Danio rerio: one gene and its partners. The protein of the gene in region 1 interacts with the protein of each later gene in a pairwise test. Links are inferred from orthologs where the notes say so. Each region holds a gene or a part of one and is shown in the gene's direction. Other genes may lie near its edges. The genes, in order: ppp1cc, lmtk2, csrnp2, ylpm1, insyn1 and csrnp1b.

Region 1 (4,237 bases):
AATTAACCATATTGAACTGTTTTTGCTGCAATCAAAAACCAGTAACGTGTCTGATTCAGCATAGCGTGAACTCACCTGATATAACATGAGAACTGCAGAGTCCAGCATTTCTAATTAGGTCCTCACTCCATTCAGCTCCCTTATAGCTAAATATGTCTGCAGTTGGCATTAAAGCAGTGTGGTGTACGGTAAATGTTAAGCTGCATTTGAAAAGTTGGATTTGGCACCCTACCGCACAACTATTACTATTGACACCAGGAACCCCTGTGACGTAGGTTGATAATTTCTCTAAATATAGGCTTAAGTTTTTTAATTTAAAACAACTTTGAACAGATTCCTTATTTTATGATGGATAATAATAAATTAGCATTTGAAAAAATAAGTATTTTTTCGAATTTCTTAGTTCAAAATGTTTAATTTAAATTCTAATCTCATTACATTATTTGTAAAAAGTAATAGTGTAAATTTTAAATGCACAGTTGTAAATAAACACAATTTTTTGTTAATAGTATGGTAAGCACTTTGACAAAAATATAGGAAAATATTTGTTGCGTCAAAAAGTATTGTAATGATAACCATCCGACAAGCTAATCCAAAAATTTGTGCTTAAAATGTCAATGTATTTGATAAAAATGAGCCGAATAGCTGCAAAAAGTTCCACTTTTTGAGAACCCTTTTAATAGGCTGGCTACGGGCCTGCATTGCAATGCTGTAGTATTTTTAATACCTAAATTAGCATGAATTAAATGCATACTGAGTAAATACCTTACCACAAATGACAAAATATGTAATGGTATTGACAGTTGACAAAGGATGAGGTTAGTTAACATGAAAAGTAATGTCAAATACTATAAAACTAGTTTTTTTTTAATGCCAAAATCAGCATTAATTAATTTCTAATGCAAAAATACTACAAATTAAATAATATTTTTTTTACTATAATGAATGACAATTGACAAAAAAATGTGGTTAGTTAATATAAAAGGTCATGTCAAATACTGTAAAACTAGATTTTATGCCAAAATTAATAATTTTTTATTAGGTTATTATAATAAATAACAGTTGACAAGGCATCTGGTTAATTAACATAAACAGAACTGTCAAATAATGTAATACTAGTACATGTGTATACCCGAATCAGCATAAATTAAATGCATAATGCAATTTTTTCAAATGAAATAATATTTGTATTAGGTCTACTGTAATAACAGCATGCCAAAAGACGTTGTTGGTTAAAATAAATAATTATGTTAATGTGTAGGATATGTTTTAAACATGTGTTTTTAAAAGTTTTTCATTGCAATTAACATTCAACGTCACACGTTATTGTGAAAGTCAGCGGCACGCCCTCCTCTTTCCTCCGCACTACTTTTCTTCCTTTCCTTTGTGTTCATCCGCCCTCCCGTTTCCATCAGCGGTGAAACCGAGCCGAATTGCGTGTCCTTCCGCAGAGCCGGTGCGCCACCGCCGCAGCACGCGCGTCTAACGGGCCCGCTCGAGCATTTTAATCTTTTCTTTTAGAGTTTTGTGATTAACCAGTTTGTTTTTAATCGAAGTCGTTTTATCTGTCGTGTCTGGTGTGTTTTAAGCGGTGGTGTTTGTGTTTTTATCGGCTAGTCATGGCTGACATCGACAAACTCAACATAGACAGCATCATTCAGCGCCTGCTCGAGGGTGAGTTTCAAGCCAAGTGACAGCTAAAATGTACTTTTAATAACATAAGTAACTATATAATTGCCATAAGGGTTGTGTGTGTATATGTATATGCTTGATCTATCAACTCTGTCGTTTTTATGGATGTTACGTTAGCTGAGCTAGCGAGAGTTAGCTGCGCATTAGCTCTGCTCACTGACACAAACGGCTGTGTGTCAAATACAGAGTTTTCTACATAGACACTATACTGATATATTTGAAGATTATATATTATTGGTTGGTTTCGAATGGACAGTACTTTTGACTATAAAATACACTCTGTGTGGGCAGTTCACTGGTGTTTGTGACACTGCCAAGCTGTACGCGCGGTTTCGGTGCTTCAGTAAACACATTACGTTAGTACACTGACTAATGCTGATATTATGATATTGAATACATATTTGAGCATCAAAACAGCTGTTTATTAGTGTACCACAGTCATTAAAATTAACAACAGGGCTTGAAATGTCAAAAGTGTGATTTCTAGCGCTAGGAAAAACAATATTTTTGAGTTCAACCCAAATTTATACAATTTGAGGGTGTCATCTCTATAAAATGTTTATTAAAAATCCTTGCTTTAATTAGACATCTTAAAACCTTATTTAATGACTAACAATATGAAACTGTTGAAAATGAGAACTTTAAAACATGATAAACTCTTAATTCTGATTGAATATGAACACTGTATTTGCTTATATTATGACTTTAAACATGTATTATTATTACATGTAAATATATTTTTTAGGGGGGGAAGGACATCACATCCTGTACAACTGCAGGTTATACAGTGTTCATACAGTCATGGAAAACCTGGAAAAGTCATGGAATTTTTACATGGCATTTTCCAGGCCTGGAAAAGTTTTGGAAAAACAGAAAAACCTACACAGTTTTAGAAAAGTCATGACAAATACTTGAATATAGGCTTTTCTCTTATTTTCTGTCCTTGGCCAATCACATACTCTCATATTATTAGTGCGGTGTAAGCATTATCTAAATTAATTTTGCATGGATATAAATTGAAAGTAAATGGATTGTTGCATGTTTTATGCTATGCTCTAATAAATTTGAACATGCATTGCTTTTCTTTTACCACGCATATGTAGACATTGCATGAAACATTAGGTCATGAACATTTACATGAAAGTCTTGGCAAAATCATGAAATTTTAGTAGTAAAAATGTGTATGAGCCCAACTATGTTTACAACATTTTAGCTTTTTTTTGAATTGACTGTAATGAAATGTGCACCTTTTGTAAAGCTGCTTTGAAATGAATTATTGTGAAAAGCACTATACAAATAGATTTATATTTTATTATACAATGAATTGTATCTTTGCAAAATATAATTGCTTTCTGGAATGCATTATAAAAGCAGCAGGTGCAATAAAGGCAGAATGATTATGCAAGATTTTATAGTTTTATTGTATACAGTGAAGAAATGCATTTACATAACATTTCTCGCTTGTTTAATTTTTATATGCAACACAGTTCATATTGGCAGATATTATTATTTAGACTAACATTAAATGTATTATTAAGGTATGTATCCTTCATAAGCGGGTCTGACTTCAGATTTAGCACTGCAGCAGCTTTGACCCATTTTTACTTGTACTTTCTGCAGTAGTGATTTCAGCATCATACACATACTGATATGCATGTGCTTTTACTTTGTCCTCTTACACTGTAAAAAATATATTAGTGAACAGTTTCTCTATTTTGTGTGTTTTGGGTTTATTTGCGGTGGCAAATTGCATTATGCTATGTTGATCTCTCCTCTGTTGTATTTTTAACATCAAAAGTGCACAAAGTGACTTATTCACATTTTAGTCATTTGAAATAATAATATCATGTATAAAAATAATATCTAAAGAAATAAGTCTGTTAAAGAATAGAAAATGTTTGTTACAATGTTTTTGTAGCGTAATATACAACACCAACCAGACAGTATATCACTTTAAGCTATTAAAAAAGTAAATAAGTCACTTTTTTTAACTTTACAAGGTTAAAAGTTGTTGGAGGAAAGTAATAATCCAATTCAAAAGCGTAAATAAATGGGGGAAAGTAAAAACATGAATCACAAAATACATAAAACTGCTTATTTAAAGATTTTTTATTGCTTAGGTTTATTTTTATGCAGTGTGAAATAATGGCTGCGCTAAAATTTTGACATTGTCATGGAGAGATGCTATAAATTATATTTGGGTAATAATAATGCATAATGTTTAATTATGATGCACCTTTCTAAGCTCAAAGCGCCACAACATTTACAAACATAAGGTTGCAACCAAAGCCTAAATTACAAACTTTCATAATCAAATCTCTGTATTAATTCACATCGCAATAATGAATAAAAAACAATTAAGCAAATTTATTTTTTAAAATGTCAGTGATATCACAAATGGGCAAATATGGCTCTAAATTTAAAATTATTTATTTTAAAATAAATATATTACCAGTATATTAGGAACACCCTACTCCTTGCATATTTTCTAAGATTCCTCTGTTAAATATTTTATTAGACTGTCCTGCTTTTAATGTTTGTAGAA
Region 2 (4,113 bases), on another chromosome or scaffold:
TCAGCAAACTAATAAAGCCCGAAAAAAGCCCTGAACTTAGCGAATAAACAGTGTTCCACCAGATCATGTATGTCAGAAACTATAGTTTACTGCTGAACTCATTTTGTCATGGTAAAATAACACAGAAATCGAATAATAACATTTCAGTCTACTTCAGTCTCCTGCCGAAGCTCAGACGCCGCGCTTTGAGAAACTGTCAATCACAGCTGTCAATCACGATGACACGCCCAGCATTAAATTACTGCTAAAAACAAACTGTTTACAAAAATGAAGATCTGCACCTATTTCAGCACAATAACCAGTGCCTTAATCCACCAGAACCATCTTTCGGGACATTTTATTGCAAGTGTAATATTTTTTTTTATTTGGGCTCAAGTCTCCTTCATTAACACGGAGGAGGCGGGCTTTATGACTTGTACTGCAGCCAGCCCCCAGGGGGCGATCTAACGGCCGAAACCTTCACTCAAACGTAGGCTTGCGGCACACTTGTTCCGAATTCATAGAATTCGAAAATCAGTACCCGGATGACTTACTACTTCCGGCGAGATTCCGGAGTGCGCATCCCATGCATGCTGCGCTATCCCATGATGCCCCGCGAGCGAAATCATGAATGGAAGTAAAGCGACGCAACTGACGCACGTAGGTCACGTGACCATGACAAAATGGCGGATGTAGTACGTCCGAATTCCATTCATACTTTTCACATTCATACTGTACAGAACGTACTTTTCTAACAACCGAGTAGTACGTTTAAATTCAAATGCAGTACCTACTGAGTAGTAGGCAGATTCGGACGCAGCCAATCTCTCTAAATTAACATTCATTTTAGGTACTTCATCATTTAAGACAAATTACTGACATTTTTGTTTTTGTACAGGAAAATTACAGTATCATTTATAGTGTTTTTTCTGTTATTTTAAATTATGTTCAAAAGTCCGTAAAAATTACAAATAATATCTGTAAATTTACAGCTTGACTGTTATTTTATGTACTATATAATTAATGAAAAATTACAGCAACTTTCCTGTTTTAGAATCCTCCCTTGTGGATCAAGTAAAATCACAAAGATAATATCTTTTTCATGCTAATTCTTATTAAAAAATCGATTTATTCTTTACTAAGATGCTTTCGTTGTTCCACAGCTTCACTTTGTGTGGGGAGAAATTGTGAACGAAACATAGTTTCCATGCCAAAAAGAGCCTGTTCATGAAATTTAGAGAGTTTTATAGGGAGTTTGTATGGTAGGCAACCTTTTTTCTATGTGAGTGATCTGTCAGATTCTGACGTCACCGCCGCCCTCGTGTGACGTCACTAAACATGGCGCTCGTGCGGAAAGGTGATGATGATGGACCTCTATGTTTACTGCGCTTTTGATTTTTCCGCGAACGCAAGACTTTTACAATGTCTGAAAAAGACGTATCCTCGCGTTTAACCGTCCTAGAGAGGTAATAAACCAAACGGCGGCTTTGAACGATGCTAAATAATCACATATAAGACGCCGGTAGCGGTTAGCATTAGCTTAGCTTCATGAGCACCACAGCTCTGTCGTGTTAGCTAACGCTCACAACGCGACGCACGACTAATATCACACAACATGAGTCTTTGACATATATAGATGTAACGATATAGATGTACGTAGACAGCTCTTTGCGTTATTTGTTTAGATGTGCTAGCTGTTTTTTAGGTAGTTGAGGTAGTGGATTAGCCGCAGTGCTGAGGATGGAGGCTCTTCTCGGTGGAGGTGTGTGTTTTCTGGGATTTGTCACTCTCACACACGCTGCTCCGGTCTCTAATACACTCTCAGGTAAGATGTCAGTCACATTATGATGCTTATTTGTCACTCATGTTGTCATTGAGAAGCTGTGTGTGATGCCAGCATTGTGTTGGGGTTTGCTAATGTCATGTTTACATGGTGCTGCTCTCAAAAATAGCATGGGGCTACCTTGGGGTGTTAAGGTAAAGTTGGTTTTATATTCGTACACTCATTTAGTGACAATTTCCTTTGTTGTTTATCACGGTACAATAAATATTCGGTTTCAAATTGTATGCAAGTATGACTTTAAAACAACATAAGCACTATTAAATTGATTGTGAACAATGTTGTACTTTGATAGTCATTGGATGCTAATATAATTTCACTATTTAGAGTTTATAAAGAAAACTTTTCTTAAATTATATTATGAAGGAGAAAGTTCAAACGTGTGATTTTTAAAACCAACTTTACCTCAATCATTAGTGCTTGGCATTGTTTTGTTGTTATGGGGTAAACAGGTGATTTGACAGCTGACCTGTCAGTAAACAAACCAAGTGAAAGTGCGAAAATGTCCTCAAATAAAGACTAATCAAGCACCTGTGTTGTGGAAAGATACTTTAGAAAGTAATGTATTACAATATCGAGTTACTTCGCAAAAAATAACTAGTTGCGCTACTTTTTATGTGGTAAGTAATGTGTTGATTTTTGTGTTACTTTTCCCATACTGGCTGAGTCTTAAACTCTTTCAGAACTTGCAAGAAGTTTTTTCTTCATTTTTCGTTTTAAAAGAGGAGCTCTGTGATTAACAACACACTGTATAACCTTCATTCATCTTTAAAAAACACAATAATGTAGAATAATGTTGTCTTCTGAGAGCTCCCTGAGCTGTAGTTTGTTGTTTCTGGTGATGCTCAAAATTCAGATGGAGGGCAGGAAGGAAAAAGTTGAATGGGAGACCGAGGAAAGGCCAGGTTTTTGTGATTTATACCATGTTTCAAAGGAGATATAAATGGAAAATCACCACATATGTTGATTGAGGTAAAGTTGGTTTTATAATCAAACATTTGGACTTTCTCCTTATTAATATAATTTCAGAAAAGTAGTCTTTGCAAACTTAAAATAGTGAAATAATTAGCATCTAATGACTATCAGAGTATAACATTGTTTACAATCAAATAAATAGTGCTTATGTTGTTTTCAAGTCATACTTACATGCAATTTCAAACCAAATATTCAATGTACAATGGTAAACAATATAGAGAAGTTGTCACTGAATGAATGTGTTAATGTAAAACCAACTTTACCTCAATCCCTTGGGCTTGATATTGTATTGCTGTTATGGGGTAAAAAGGGGATTTGACAGCTGACCTTTCAGTAAACAAATCAAGTGAAAGTGCGAAAATGTCCTCAAATGAAGACTAATCAAGCACCTGTGGTGGGTAAAGTTACTTTAGTAAGTAATGTATTACAATATTGTCTAGTTGTGTTACTTTTTATGGTAAGTAATGTGTTGAGTTTTGTGTTACTTTTCCCTTACTGGCTGAGTCCTAAACTCTTTCAGAACATGCAAGGATTTTTTTTCTTCAGTTTTTGTTTTTTTAGAGGAGCTCTGCGATTAACAACACACTGTATAACCCTTATTCATCTTTAAAAACTCACAAAAAAACATAATAATGTTGGATAATGTTTTCTTTTGAGAACTCTCTGAGCTACAGGTTGTTGTTTCTGGTGATGCTCGAAATTCAGATGGAAGGCAGGAAGTAAAAAACTAAATGGGAGACAGAGGAAAGTCCCTGTTTTTGTGATTTATAACATATTTCAAAGGAGATATAAATAGAAAATAACCACATATATTGGGTATTGAAAATTATAATTAAAAATAGTCACATTAGCTTTCACCGGAAGTTTATCACTAGCTTTAAAACTCTTGCTGTGCATAGAGCCCATTGAGGGTGCGGTTCAACATCAATTTTAATTCAGCAATTACATTTTTTTAGAAGCTAATGCAATTAAAAATAGCCTGCATGATATTTTTTAAACTAAAATATTGTTACTTAATCTTTTTAAGTAACGTAACTTTTGGCCCCGTTTACACTGCCAGTTAAATGTGAGCCAATTTTTTTGTTCATGTGACACAGATCGGATCCCTTCTATGACCGCATAAACACGTAATAATGCATTCATACGGATATTCAGAGATGGTTTCAGATCTCCTTCATATGTGGAAATAAATCAGATTATAGGATATGTGACGATGCGACTATCATGTAAACAAGCACTCCGTTTTGTACGTCATTAAACTTGCGACAATGTGGTACTTCTCCGGTTGAATGACGTAGAAGGAAGAGCGTGTACGGAGA
Region 3 (3,500 bases), on another chromosome or scaffold:
CCCAGAGGAAACCCATGCCAACACAGAGAGAACATGCCAATTCCACACAGAAATGGCAACTTGCCCAGCCGGGACTCGAACCAGCAAGTGCTAACCACTGAGTCACTGTGCCACTAACTATATGTTAATTTTATACAGTATGAGAATTCTGCTATATAGTTTACATATGATATGAAGCCTCCAAGTACTGGGTTGGGGCTGGAAGGGCAGCCGCTGCGTAAAACATATGCCAGAATAGTTGGTGGTTCATTCCGCTGTTGCGACCCCTGGTAAATAACAAACTTAGCTGAAGGACAATGAATGAATGATACAAAGCTCATCCTCTTTTGTCATAACTGTTCATGTTGGATTTCTGTGGTGATATTCTGTCAGTCAGTCAGTCAGAATAAAGCATGTACCTGTCTGTATTGCCTTCAGAAGCAGTGTTTCCATGGAGACAGTGTCATCTCGCGGCCTGAAGCGCAGATTCGAGGAGGTGGACAGCGGCTCGCCGTGCTCCACACCCAAAGACTCAGATGATGACATCTCCAGCAGTGACAGCGCTGACAGCTGCGACAGTCTCAACGCTCCCTCCAGCTCCCTCACACGTAAGACTAACTAACAACTTAATCTTATATGAGTTCAGTGTTATGGAGGCATCCTGGCAGTAAGTTATGAACGGGCCGCAACAATTGTCCTGTTATAAAAATATTAGAGAGAATACAAACACTTGTCTGTATATGAGTGAGCCGGTGTGTTTTAAATGGTGATTTTATTTATTTATTTTTGTCTTGATTGTTTTAAGATTTGCATCTCCAGTCTGTAAAAGATATGGATGTAGTATCCGTGACGTCACCCATAGGTTTCTGATGAACATAAATGAAGCTACAAGTAGGCGAGGCCAACCATCGCCATTTTGTTTGCGTGGCATCGCACCGACCGGGGGATACCAAACAAGCACGGAGAGGCGAAGCGTGAGCTGAGCTACAGACGCCTGCTAGCATTTTGCTTAGACAGGCTTTTCTTTGGGAGAAACGTTTAATACCTCATTACCTGCGACTTGTTTATGTTCTGACCACATGTGCTTGGTTGTCAGAGATGGCAAAAGTACACACATCTTTTACTTAAGTAGAAGTACAGATGCTCATGTTTAAAACGACTCTGGTAGAAATTGAAGTACTGACTACACTTTGGTTCTCAAGTAAAAGTAAAAAAGTACGGCCTGAGGGTGGAGTCTATTCTAGCCTTTTTGAAATGATGAGTCACACACAAATGCCGTTTGCACCTATACATACACAGTGACACCATGTGGCCGTGGTGATTATAGCGGTTAAAAATTACATAGCGATTTTTCTGTCTTTATTACCAACATGCTCTGTTTTAAAAACGCTTTAAACTCATAAAATTGATTATTGAGGTGCAGCTGATCACAGAGACTTGTAGCAAATGTTTTAATCCTAGTTTCTTTGCAAAGAATGTTCCGTGGACATGTGTATACATGTTATTGTAGAGACATGGCAAGTGTCAATCAATTTGGTTGGCGGGGAAACCATACTCCTGTACCTACACATAGTTCTGTCCAAACAGCTTACAAAAGAGGATTTTCATCATAGGTGCCCTTTAAAGTTGCTATTTAAACTGCTGTAAGGCTGTTAATGTTAACCCCTGTACTTTAGTCAGTTCATGCATAAGGCTGTCACATTTCTGCTCGTTTGTAAGAACCACCATAGCCTAATCGAGATTTTTAAATAGTTTTTTTAGGATGATAAAACTACTATACAACATAGTTTAGACTATGTTTAAGGTTTAGGTTATTTTTTTTTTTGGCTGAGAGTACAATATCATCAATGGATTGTTCCCCAAACAGTTTAGATTATTGATACAGGTCATAGAGGTTTGATTTTCCTATTATAGAAATGTAGGTCCAGGACATAAAAAGGATGTTGATTGAGGTCCTTCTTGGACTAATTTACATTGAGATGAAAACTTGTTAACCCTTTAACTGTGAGTCCTCATGTTGAACATGACACTCCTTGTTTTGGAATGCATACCTACACTGATTTATTGTATTTACTGCATTTTTTAAGATAACTGGTTGCAAACAATTTATGGGCTGAATTTAAACAAGCTAATTTTATTTGGTAATGTTCAACATAATTTGCCCATATAAAACTTTTGCAAATCTAATTATTGTTTTATTTTAGTGTAAAGTTGGTCTCTGTATAAAGAAGAGACTTCAGCATTAAAATAAATGAAGACAGGGTTTTAAAGTTATAAATGCTTAAATTTACTGGAAAGAAAAAATAATTTATGAATATGAAATTCTATAAATATTGTTTTATTTTGTGTATAAATCATGTTTACACTCAAAAAATGTGCAATTGCCGCTGTTAAAAAACCAACAGTTTGGCTCAATGGACTCCTGATTTGCTGCTTATTAATAGTTAGTAATGTAGTAGTTGAGTTTACTGGGTAGGATTAGGGATATAGACTAAGATCATGATTTATATGTACTAACAAACTGCCAGTATTTTAATGATAGGCAGGTAATAAGCCAGTAGTTAATAGTGGGAATTGGTACTTAAACTAAAGTGTTACCTAATTTGTTTATCCATACTTCTTTCACTGATCCATACACACCTTTCACAATATAAATTCTATCACAAAACTGGCAGCAAATATGAAACAATAGCTCTCATGAAATGTGAATCGACAAGTTTATAAAAATATTTAATTATAATATATAATAGTACATTTTGGCGGCGCAGTGGCGCAGTAGGTAGTGCTGTCGCCTCGCAGCAAGAAGGTCACTGGTTCGAGCCTCGGCTCGAGCTGGGTCAGTTGGCGTTTCTGTGTGGAGTTTGTATGTTCCCTCTGCGTTTATGTGGGTTTCCTCTGGGTGCTCCGGTTTCCCCCACAGTCCAAAGACATGCGGTACAGGTGAATTGGGTAGGCTAAATTGTCCGTAGTGTATGAGTGTGAATGAGTGTGTGTAGATGTTTCCCAGAGATGGGTTGCGGCTGGAAGGGCATCCGCTGCGTAAAAACATGCTGGATAAGTTGGCGGTTTATTCCGCTGTGGCGACCATGGATTAATAAAGGGACTAAGCCAAAAATAATAATATGATGGAATAGTACATTTTGCAATATAAAATTTGACACCACCCACTAGGTGGAGGAGCTTGCTAAAAGGTTTTGAAGTACTTTCCCTTGGTAGTGCATTCTCCAATTTCAAAATCTGTCTTAACACAATGAATTTCATACTTTTCAAATGACAGCTTTCAAGTCATATTTAAGCAGCAATCTTCTGCTTGAAAATATCCCTCCTGAAGCAAATACAGAAGTAACTGAAACTGTAATTCATCGCAATTCCGCTAGTCCTGGCTCCATAATAAAGCAAATTTCTATTGAGCCCACTGTTAAAATTGGCCAACTTTACAGCAGAAAAAAAGGTGTTTACAGCCTCGATCAAAGAACGATTTTGGTTCATATAGCTAATATTACCCTTCAAGACAACTGTGA
Region 4 (3,500 bases), on another chromosome or scaffold:
TAGAACAGTTTCAGATGTACCCACATAAAGATCAGCTACATGATTATGAAGCCCAGTGGAGGCAATGGCAGGAGCAAATGAATTCAACTTCAGCTCATCTGCAAGAGAGGGTCACGACTTTAAGAGCCATGCAGCATCAGTATGGTTCTTCATATGGAATGATGGGATCATATGGGCAGCAAAGTCCAAATGTCCAAATGGGACCAAATGGAAACATGAATTTAGTAGGCCCAGGAACTCCATCTATGCCACCGCCAGTCACCATGGATGCCATGCCAGCACCATCAACACAAGGCCCATCACAGTCTGGACCAGTTGTTCCCCAGGGTCATTCACCTTCTGATCTGGAATCTATTTCTGAAACATGTAAAACTGGTTTACCACCTGGTCATGGAGTTAGACCGCCTGGTCCTGGGGTTAGACCGCCTGGTCCTGGGGTTAGACCGCCTGGTCCTGGGGTTAGACCGCCTGGTCCTGGCGTTAGACCACCTGGTCCTGGCGTTAGACCGCCTGGTCCTGGCGTTGGACCGCCTGGTCCTGGGGCTGGACCAGGGGTTGGACAACCAAGACCGGGGGTTAGACCACCTGGACCGGGGGTTGGACCACCTGGCCCACAAGGTGTTAGACCATATGGACCAGGAGGTAGACCACCGGGGCCAGGAGTTAGACCATCTGGACCAGGAAGTGGACCGCCTGGACCCCATGGAAGATTTGACGGCCCAAGGTAATTCAGAAGAAAAATTACTTGGAATAACACATTTGTCTCGAGCTAGAGAACTAATTTTTGTTTTCTTTTTCAGATTTGAAGGTCCTAGAGGCCCACAATTTGAACAGCCACCCCAGCAACGATTTAGTGGACCACCCAGATTTGATGCTGGTCAGCGATTTAGCCAACCTCCTAGAGGTAATCCTCCCTTTCCAGGGGCTCCAGCAAGGCTGGAGAACCCCCCTAGACAGAATACCCCTACACGCTTTGAAAGACCTCCTGTAGCTTCTCAACAAACTGGTTCTGGTCAACAATCCAGTCCTGTAACTGGCAATCAAACAAAGCAACAATCAGCAAAACCTGAGGCAAAGCCAGTTCCTCCATCTTATACAGACCCAGACAAAGCTAAAAGTCCTTTAAGTCAAAGTACTCAAAAAGAAAACAATTCCTCTGCTCCATCCATGACAGACGACCTTGTGGACTCAGTGGATGGATTTTTTATTCAGAGTGGACCCATTCCTCAAACTAAGGATTCTGATAAAACTGATGCAGACAGTGCAAAGCAAGATAAAACAAAAGAAGTTACTACAAAACCATCTGCACCTACGGATGCCCCAGACACCACAAACAAAAACTCTAACTTGCAACCTCCTAAGACCAGTCATACTGCTAATGGGCCACCACAACAAGTAAAGCCTCCTCAAAACAAATTTAAACCTGATACACCCAAGGAGACTCCTAGGATGCTACCCATGATGAATCAGCAAGTTCCACCACAGATGGCACGGGGAAGAGGACGAGGCCAAATACCAATGCCTCTCCGAGGCAGGGGTCGTGCACGTGGTCGAGGGCAGTATGGCGGACCAATGGCTGATCCCAACTTCCAAAGAGAAATTGAGGAGGATTCCTATGACCATCAGGAACCAGGCAACGCAAGTCATGGCGAGGATCAGGATCGTATTTGGAGAGATCCTTCTTTAGATGGTCCTGAAGAAATTGATCAGGAAGCACCTTTAGAGATTTGGCAACCAGAGGAGGAACACTTTCCAGAGGAGTACCCAGAGGACACTCACCAAGATGAAAACTGGGAAGAAGAACCACAGGATTATTGGGAGGAAGAAGATCCATATTGGGCAGAGCAACGACCTGCCATGCGTGCTAGACCTCCTTTTCCTCCAGGTGGCCCCAGAAGACCTCCTTTCCATCCACGATTTATGCTTCAAGGTCCAAGGCGCCCTCCTCCTCCTGGAAGTTTGCAACATAACCCACTTGGACCTCCTCCGTTTCGACCACGTGGGGGAGTTGTACCACGATTCAGACGTGGTTTAGGCCCTTGGGGACCATTACCCCGCCATGACATGATGGAGCGAGATTTAAGACGACCACCAGCACCTCATGAAATTATAGCTAGGGAACCAGCTGGTCCTCATGGATATGAAGAAGAAATTGACAGAGAGCCTGCATGGCCTCATCCTCGTGGTAGAGGGATTAGACGACCACCTTTGCCACCCCATGAAATGGGAAGAGGCATTAGAAGACCACCCATGAGGCCTGCAATGCCAAGAGAAAGGTGGCATGGCCCACCACCTCATGAAGAAGAGAATTATGAGGAGGAATACCCATATGGTGCAGAGGATGATGTGTACAGAAGGCCACCTCATGAATACAATGAAGATTATGAGCATGGAGATGAGTATTATGGCTCTCGTGAGGAATGGGACGGGGAGCAACCTGAACGAGACTATCCTCCACATCGTCCTCCAGAACGTGTTAGAGAGGATCCATGGTTAGAGGAAAGAGAAAGATCATTCCCATATGAGGAAGACCGATATAGAGAAGAACGAAGGGGACCTTTTTACCCTGATGATCCACCTTATCAAGACCGAGATCGGGAGCCTCCATTTCATTCACGTTCTGATTGGGAAAGGCCCCCACCTCCACCCCCACCAGAAAGAGGATACTCCCGTTCACTTAGTGAAACGGATTATGAACATAAACTGGATCCACTAGCTAGCCTTCCCGCACCTCAAGCCACAGATTCCCCACTTGATGAGTCTTCACCTAGCGCAACTAAGGCTGTACTTGCTCTTTCTCAAAGGCAGCATGAGATCATTCTTAAAGCTGCCCAGGAGCTAAAAATGATCAGGTAAAATGGAATTTATCAAGAGCGTACAATTATTCAAATAACATGCAATTCATACACTCCAAACGGTTGAATTCACAACTTGATTAAACCTGTTTGTTCGTAGAGAGCTTCAGGAGACCAAAAAGGCTTTAGGAGAGGTTTCCACCACAGAGTCAGCTGGGTTGCCTTCAGAGCTTCCTGCTGGCATCCTTGGATTGGAAATTCCACCAGAGGTTAAAAGTGCCCTGCAGGTATGCTAACTGTGCATAATAATGTTTAGTATTGCAGTAGTTTAGTTATGGAAAGCAATTGATCGCATGAGGATTTTGTTTTGCAGGCTACCAACTTATTGTCTGAAACTGGACAGACATTCAATGCTGGTTTGTCCTCAAATCAATCTACAGATTTTCTTTCTTCAACTGCCCCTACAGCCTCATTCATTGCTAAAACTGTGGACTATGCGCATGGTCGTGGTCAGTGTATGTTCTGAATTTGTTTATAAATGCATCTAGTCAAACGACAGTTTTTTACACTTGTTTTATCGTTCTTTAGATGGGGGTTCAACAGTGGAAAGAATTTCTTATGGGGAGAGGGTCTTGCTAAGACCTGCTCCAGCTCCATCTGAGCGATCTTATGAGAAAGGTTGGTCCTGCTTTCTTAATATGAAAG
Region 5 (2,791 bases), on another chromosome or scaffold:
GACAAGATAGAGATTTGGCACCACACTGAACATTTAGGTTTCAATATATTTTAGCCTGTATTTATTAATAATAATAATAATGTAATAGTTTAATATATGGAAAAATTAGATCATTCAAATAAATATAAATGTAAGATTAAAGATGGCATCTAAGATGTAAATATATGATGTTTAGAATAGATGATAACACACAGCATTTCAGTGTGTTAATATTGGGCTTTGGAGAGACCTAGCAACACATTTTAAATACATTTTTCAGAAAACAAAATTAATTGCTTTAGTTTTGTGTAATAAAATGACCAAAAAAAAAAAAGTTGAAGAACACATGAAGAAAGGGAGGCGTAGAAAGGCATGGAAAGCCCAGTCAGCAGCTGAAATCTCTTGAGTAGTTACAAAGCAACTCTTTTTGTCTTGTTATTATTTTTGTTTGTCACTTTACATTTTAGCTTCCATTTATCAGAATATATTGTATATTGTAGGTATGCTGTGATTAGATGTTTGCATTAATGAGCCATTAAACAAAGGGATCTGGCGAGTGATTGTATATTGTTTTATGTATTGAGATTACAGTAGAATGTACTGTTCATCCATTTTTCATATATATATATATATATATATATATATATATATATATATATATATATATATATATATATATATATATATATATATATATATATACACACACACACACACAAGTAATACTTGAGGATAGGCCATTGAATTATTATACAAATAACGCACACCTGAGGTAATTTCTGTGCTTGTCCTCTGGTCTCCAGTACAGCTTGTAAACTGTTGAGATGTTGTATTACAGACAGGTGTGTGTCCTCCTCAAACTGCTCCTGTGTGCAGCACTAGTTTCTTCCACGTCTCCTCCGAAGCCTTCTGTTGTGTTTTGATGTGATGTTTGACTGTTTTAGCAGTGATATAAATTAGTGGAGTGATATAGAGCTGTAATGCACTCTAAACCTGCCGGAACTACTTTAGCTGTGCCTTTATCTGACAATAAAGGCACACTTCACAATGCTTGAGAGAAAGTTTGTATATTTAGTAGCTTAGCGTTTATATAATATAATGTGTCTTTGGGAATACCTTCAAGTCAGCCCAGTTTCAGATTGTTTATTTTGATCAAATCAATGAAGATCCTTAAGGTATTGCAGATTTTTGAACAGGTCGACCGCGGTGCCTGAGCATCAATTGAGCGTACACAAACTCATTATTTTTGTTATTTATGATCATTAAGTGGCTCGGTGTCCTCCAGGTGGTGGGTCAGATCGATAAACTCAGGTCAGACTTAACACATATTGGTTTATTTATTGATTGATTGATTGATTGTCTACAGAACAAATCCCTGTTGTTTAATGACTTGCCTAGATATTAAAACAGAAAGACTGATGATCTTTGTTTTAAGCAGTGTTCATCACTTTGTTTTTTGCTGCTTTTGGCCTGTTTCAGGGTCTGAAACTTTTTAAAACTCCCTCAGATTACTTGGTTTTCACCTGAAACTTGTTGGACATGTTTAAAACTTCATATAAGCTTGCCTTATTCATTAATAAAATAAATGAAGATCCTTGAATCGTCTCAGTTTTTTTGAACAGGTCGACTCACCATCAATGTGACGAATATGTGAAGCCCATTATTCACCATCATTCTCTCCTTCTGCGTCCTCCAGGTGGTGGGTCAGATCGACAAACTCACATCAGACCTGGAGCTGGATCTGGATGCGGACGATTGGACGGTGGCGACAGCGAGCAGCACGTCCAGCAGCGAGCGCGGCCTGTGCGAGGCCTTCAGATTGGACTTTCTGGGCCAGGACTCGCTCTCTGACAGCTGGGACTTCTGCAGCTTTCTGGAGTCATCGAGCCGGAGATCAGCGCGGGACGACACCAAACCTCCGCCCACCACCGCCAGCGTGTACTCGCAGATGAACGGCGGGCTGCCCGTCCCCAACGGACCCCTGATCATCACACCCGACTCGTCCAGTGAGGAGGCCTCCAGCTCCACACACAGCCAGAGGTGGGGAAACTTCACCCAAAACAAATCCAAGTTTAGTTTTGTTTCTTTCAGCCCATCATTGGGTCTAATTATTAACATATATTAAATATAAACAGAGATGAAAATACAAATATTATCCTCTCTTAATGACGTTTTCATGAGCATGCATAAAATCTCAATGGTTTTCATGGTGTGTGTCATGTAAAAATCCACTCTCTCCAAGTGTTACCTGAATTGTAACTAGGGTACACCAAAATTTCAGCCACTGAAAATGATTGTATGTTTTTCCAAAATATTTTAGTTCTCTTTACTCAAATAAGCTCATTTTGACCAATAGTCTGGGACAGGAAAGCATGTGGAGCAGAGAGAAAGGGGAATGATCAGTAAAGGACTTTGAGCTGGGAATTGAACTCGGGTCTCTGTGAGCACCTCAGTGACCTCAGTATATATCAATGCACAAACCACTAGACTGTTGGCGCTGACAAAATAGTTTTGGTTCTCAATAATAGCCTTTTCTGAACAATAGTTTTCATTTTCTATAATAACCTTGTTTTGACTAACAGTTTTAATGTATTTGTTTACAAAAATAACTTTGTTTTGACCAATACTTTGTCTTCATTTACTAAATTAACCATGTTTTGACCAACAGTTTTAGTCTTACATTAAATATACTGGTCAAAACAAGATTATTTTAGTAAATAAGAACTAAGTTAACTAAAATAACCATGTTTTGGTCTTAGTTTGCTAGAATAATCATGTTTTGACCAACAGTTTTGGTCTTAGTTTGCTAAAA
Region 6 (4,263 bases), on another chromosome or scaffold:
TACACCTGTGTTGACACTGGCAGCACTCCCTTTTTCAATAGAAATCGAAAGTTTACTCCACCCGAACGTGTCTACGATGTGCACGATTCTGATAAACACTGCATTAGTGTAATTCTGCATTACAGAGGCGTGCACAGTTAATGATGACACAGCTGACAGGACGAGAGATGCTGTAGATATAGGAGGACACGGCATGTTCAGTCATACCTGAAATCACTGGGATGCATCGTGAACTTGCCATCAACCCCAGTCCAACCTAGAGAAGGAATGCAAATGTAATGTAATCTAATGGCTTATTCAGTATGTCTGAGAGTTGTTTTCATGTCGGCTCAGAATGCCGCTGCAACTGTATGACCAATAAATTAGGCAATGGTTTTACAAGTTTTGCTGCTGAATGATGCAGAAGGATTGCGGGATTTACTGATAAATGATGCAGGGTTTATGACTCACTACTTCAGTGAGGTTGACTCAGGAAATCTGATTGTATAAACATCTATCAAACTGCATAGATTTATTCATTTAAACAGTTTTTGTTATAATTGACATCACAATAAATGTATATAAAATGTAAAATTTATGTAAAACATGTAAAGAGTGTAAAACAAAAATGTAAACAACTATAAATACCATTAATACAAATTACTGTATTAATGTACAACACATTACTTTACATATATAACATCATTACATTTTACAGTCCTATATAATTTTAAAATACTTTTTAAATATAGTTCACATATAACATTTTGTAATATTTTGAGTTATTTGTCCATATATAATTATTTATTATAATTATTTATTATCATTATTTAGTAATAATATTAATTTTGATTATGTGATTGACACTTTTATATTGATTATATACATTTTAACATAAACGTCGCAGAAAAAAAAAATATATACACATACATATATATATATATATATATATATATATATATATATATATATATATATTTTTTTTTTTGATTATGTGATTGACACTTTTATATTGATTATATACATTTTAACATAAACGTCGCAGAAAAAAAAAATATATATATGTGTATATATATATATATATATATATATATATATATATATATATATATATATATATATATATATATATATATATATATATATATATATATAGAAAGCTACTTTAAAGCAAAATAGATTCTGGTTATCTTAAAATGTTTTAAGAAAGCACAATTGATCATGATTTCAGTGTGTATACTCCAATATTTTGCCAGCCACTGTGGTTACCATAGTAAATGTTTTGAAGGCAATGAAAGATTTACAGTTTCCCATAACTCGCGCTGTTGTTCCGGTCTCTCTCTCGTTCTCTGTGTGCGCCAGGAGGAGTGTCGCCCCGCGCGGAAGGCAGGAAGCGGCGCGTGGGCTCAGTGTCACCGCCTGCGTCACACGCCAGGAGGGAGTTTTCCACTGACGAAAAGACTGCGCTGCTCCGCGTCTGCTTCAGACAAGAGGAACAGCTTCAGCTGCCGCTCCAGTCCGCCGAGCGCACAATAGCCGCACGAACACAACGGGATCTCTTTACGGATAAACGCGCGATCGCATCTCTTGGATTATTACAGCTTCATCTTTTCCTAGATAGTGATTTACTAATGCTGATCGGACACGTTATTGGTGAGTAGCGGAGCTCCGCGCTGTTTAACGCCGCACTTGTAATGTGTCTAATAGGCAAACCTCGGATCTGGAGTCCAGCCAGATAGTTTCAATGTTCTTTTGTCGGCCAGTGTAAAGAGATAAAATGTGTTGTGTAACTATTTCAAGTAGCAAATCCAGAGGACATTGTTGTATACTGTCGTGGCAGAAAAAAAAACTAACTAAAGTTATTAAGCCATTGTCTTGCGTTTTAATTGTGTTATAATAAACTCTGGTAAGCTTAATTAATTTAATTTCTGGTGCTTTAATGTAAACCGTTTTAAGTGTGTAGATCGGTCTAAATATTCGCGGGTTTTATGCTTTTTTCTGTCAGTAATTTTGATTGGCAGTGTTTGCTGGGTTTTAATAAAAGATAGCCTTATTCTCATAAGCAGCTGTTGGCGGTTCTGATCGGATCCATTGGCAGAATTCCAGGATAGTGGACCGTATGTGTGTGTATCCGATAAGCCGTAATTGCTAGTTTGAATGTGTGTGAGTGTTGAGTGCATTCCTCGTTCACGTTTATAGCGCTGGTGTAGCCTATCTTCTGAAGCGCGAGCGACTCCTTAAGGTGCCACACCGCATCAGTTCAGTAGTCTGCATGCAGATCTGCGCTCAGCCTCATATGCACTTCCAGTCCTCGATGACGTCACCGAGGGTGCATACAAGGCTGAATGCAGGTCTGGGGGAGACCTTACTTGATCCGATCCAAACTTCAGCTGGTCGAACCGGTATTTGATCAATAGCCTATAAATGGCTTTTACAGTGCTATTTTATTTGGCTACATTTAAAGGCGCACATAACCAATTGCCTATAATTCATTCACAAAGAAAAGTGTTTTTTATTTATTTATTTAAAAGCAAGCAAAACAGTCTCCCCAGGTCATTTGATAATTGGTTTGATTGACAGTCAATCACGAGGCAACAATCACCAACACGTTGTGCTCTGCGTGATTGGGATAACTGAAGTAAATTAATATTCTCATTCCACTCGGTTTGTTACAATCTCACGGCATTCCTTTTGTCAGGTAATTTTCAATTCCTGACTGTGAGCACATTGAATGTTTGATGGTGGGATTCATTGAGCTTGTTATGTAAATTTTAGTTCAATAATTTCAGTATTTTTTGAAGGCACGAGCGCAGAAGGGTGTGTTATGATGATGATGCTTGTATATTTGTGGCTGTGTCGTAAGTTTGAGTGTGTTTATTTTGCGCGTGCTTCTGTGTGAACGAGCGCGCAGTCGCTGTCACGCGCGACCTCACTCGGATTGTTTGTGGGAACACAAGTCGGATTTTTTCTGGTGTTTTTGTTGACATACCTCACACATTTAGGGGATTTATATTCTTAAAACGAGCTTAGTAAGTCCATTAGCGTTTTATTTCATTTAAAATGCTTTTGCACTACCCTGTGGTAAACTGTTTACAAGTGAGACTTTTTATTCCCATAACCTGCGATGTTGTTTTGAATTCAAGTGCACGTTAAACTAATCAAACAGGACCATAAAAGATTGTATTGTTTACTTACTTCTGGGTTGATGAGGTGTGAACTTGCACGTGTTCCAGAGTCAGTGAAATCACTCAGCTGGTTAAAGTAGCATGTCTGGATAGTTTCCTCCCTCTTCCTATTTAAATCCAGTCATGCTTTGAAAAAATTGAGATGATGCCGTCATAATTGGTGTACATCACAACATGTCATTTTTATTAATCTCCCACCCACAGGCAGGGTGTTTTTATTTGGATAGATATGTGTGTGGCTTTTGTGCAATAGTATTGGGGGGGGTGTTGAAGTCCTGATGTCTCTAAAACCGAGAAGCAGAGGGAACCCATCTGTTTTGTCACTCTCCAACATTCCTCCCAGCTTGTGAGGTACCAGCAAGTGCCCCAGACGTAAGCTGATGACCCCTGGGCTCCCCCCATCCTATAGACGCACACATATACTCTCCCTTGTGAGTCCCGAGAGACTGGTAAAGATGGCTAGTATTTGTTTTTGTCACCATTAAGTTAGTCAGAACAAACTCATACAGATGACTTCTCAAGGAACCTACACTTTGCGGACTGTGTTGGAAGTTTGCATTTCGGATATTGATGCAAATTGCTGCATGTGGAAGTATTTTCTTTCAGTTTTGGCAATTTCCTGAGCAGTCAGAGTTTCTATTCGTTGACATAAACCAGGAGCAGTGATTCTCTCGAAACTGTTAAATAACTTTAGGAGGGTGTTTTGAGATGTTTTTCTTATGGCTCTTAGCATAATTTAGATGACCTTTAGATGGTGATCTTCATAATAATTAATAATCGGTTCATCGTCATGTGAGGGACCCCCATCCTAAAAAGTAAACAACAGTATATGGTCAAACAGATCTGATTCATTTTGTTATTTTATAAAATGTTACATTTCCACCTCTCTGAATTCCAGTGTGAAATATTGTCTAAGTTAGAATTGGTACCCTTTTTGCTTAAATAACTTTTTAATTCAAATTGAAAACATGTCTATGGAAATGCGAAGTTTGATGATGTATTGAATCCATAGTGTAGCATGTGAGAGAAATCTTCATCTCCACCCTAATAACATCATCTCGTCAATATGACAATAACGTCATCATCTCTAATGATTCGC

The links.
Region 2: the proteins of ppp1cc (region 1) and lmtk2 interact in binary tests that used the Homo sapiens proteins (3 or more experiments, as listed by UniProt). The link is inferred for Danio rerio from reciprocal best matches to the Homo sapiens genes PPP1CC and LMTK2.
Region 3: the proteins of ppp1cc (region 1) and csrnp2 interact in binary tests that used the Homo sapiens proteins (3 or more experiments, as listed by UniProt). The link is inferred for Danio rerio from reciprocal best matches to the Homo sapiens genes PPP1CC and CSRNP2.
Region 4: the proteins of ppp1cc (region 1) and ylpm1 interact in a two-hybrid assay, tested with the Homo sapiens proteins (2 studies listed by BioGRID and IntAct). The link is inferred for Danio rerio from reciprocal best matches to the Homo sapiens genes PPP1CC and YLPM1.
Region 5: the proteins of ppp1cc (region 1) and insyn1 interact in a two-hybrid assay, tested with the Homo sapiens proteins (2 studies listed by BioGRID and IntAct). The link is inferred for Danio rerio from reciprocal best matches to the Homo sapiens genes PPP1CC and INSYN1.
Region 6: the proteins of ppp1cc (region 1) and csrnp1b interact in binary tests that used the Homo sapiens proteins (3 or more experiments, as listed by UniProt). The link is inferred for Danio rerio from reciprocal best matches to the Homo sapiens genes PPP1CC and CSRNP1.

What each region holds. Positions count from the first base shown.
Region 1 is NC_133180.1:2,464,351-2,468,587, forward strand, and holds the start of ppp1cc (serine/threonine-protein phosphatase PP1-gamma catalytic subunit A), read left to right. Parts: upstream 1-1,437; 5' UTR 1,438-1,619; coding exon 1,620-1,674; intron 1,675-4,237. UniProt on the Homo sapiens protein: Protein phosphatase that associates with over 200 regulatory proteins to form highly specific holoenzymes which dephosphorylate hundreds of biological targets.
Region 2 is NC_133178.1:66,126,353-66,130,465, forward strand, and holds the start of lmtk2 (serine/threonine-protein kinase LMTK2), read left to right. Parts: upstream 1-1,313; 5' UTR 1,314-1,719; coding exon 1,720-1,804; intron 1,805-4,113. UniProt on the Homo sapiens protein: Phosphorylates PPP1C, phosphorylase b and CFTR.
Region 3 is NC_133198.1:36,596,347-36,599,846, reverse strand, and holds part of csrnp2 (cysteine/serine-rich nuclear protein 2), read left to right. Parts: intron 1-417; exon of another isoform or gene 418-420; 5' UTR 421-430; coding exon 431-587; intron 588-3,500. UniProt on the Homo sapiens protein: Binds to the consensus sequence 5'-AGAGTG-3' and has transcriptional activator activity. May play a role in apoptosis.
Region 4 is NC_133195.1:9,354,067-9,357,566, reverse strand, and holds part of ylpm1 (YLP motif-containing protein 1), read left to right. Parts: coding exon 1-724; intron 725-800; coding exon 801-2,852; intron 2,853-2,955; coding exon 2,956-3,082; intron 3,083-3,168; coding exon 3,169-3,304; intron 3,305-3,383; coding exon 3,384-3,473; intron 3,474-3,500. UniProt on the Homo sapiens protein: Plays a role in the reduction of telomerase activity during differentiation of embryonic stem cells by binding to the core promoter of TERT and controlling its down-regulation.
Region 5 is NC_133193.1:53,476,374-53,479,164, forward strand, and holds part of insyn1 (inhibitory synaptic factor 1), read left to right. Parts: intron 1-1,675; coding exon 1,676-2,019; intron 2,020-2,791. UniProt on the Homo sapiens protein: Component of the protein machinery at the inhibitory synapses, probably acting as a scaffold. Inhibitory synapses dampen neuronal activity through postsynaptic hyperpolarization.
Region 6 is NC_133199.1:23,587,862-23,592,124, reverse strand, and holds the start of csrnp1b (cysteine/serine-rich nuclear protein 1b), read left to right. Parts: upstream 1-1,463; 5' UTR 1,464-1,632; intron 1,633-2,301; exon of another isoform or gene 2,302-2,381; intron 2,382-2,610; exon of another isoform or gene 2,611-2,677; intron 2,678-4,263. UniProt on the Homo sapiens protein: Binds to the consensus sequence 5'-AGAGTG-3' and has transcriptional activator activity. May have a tumor-suppressor function. May play a role in apoptosis.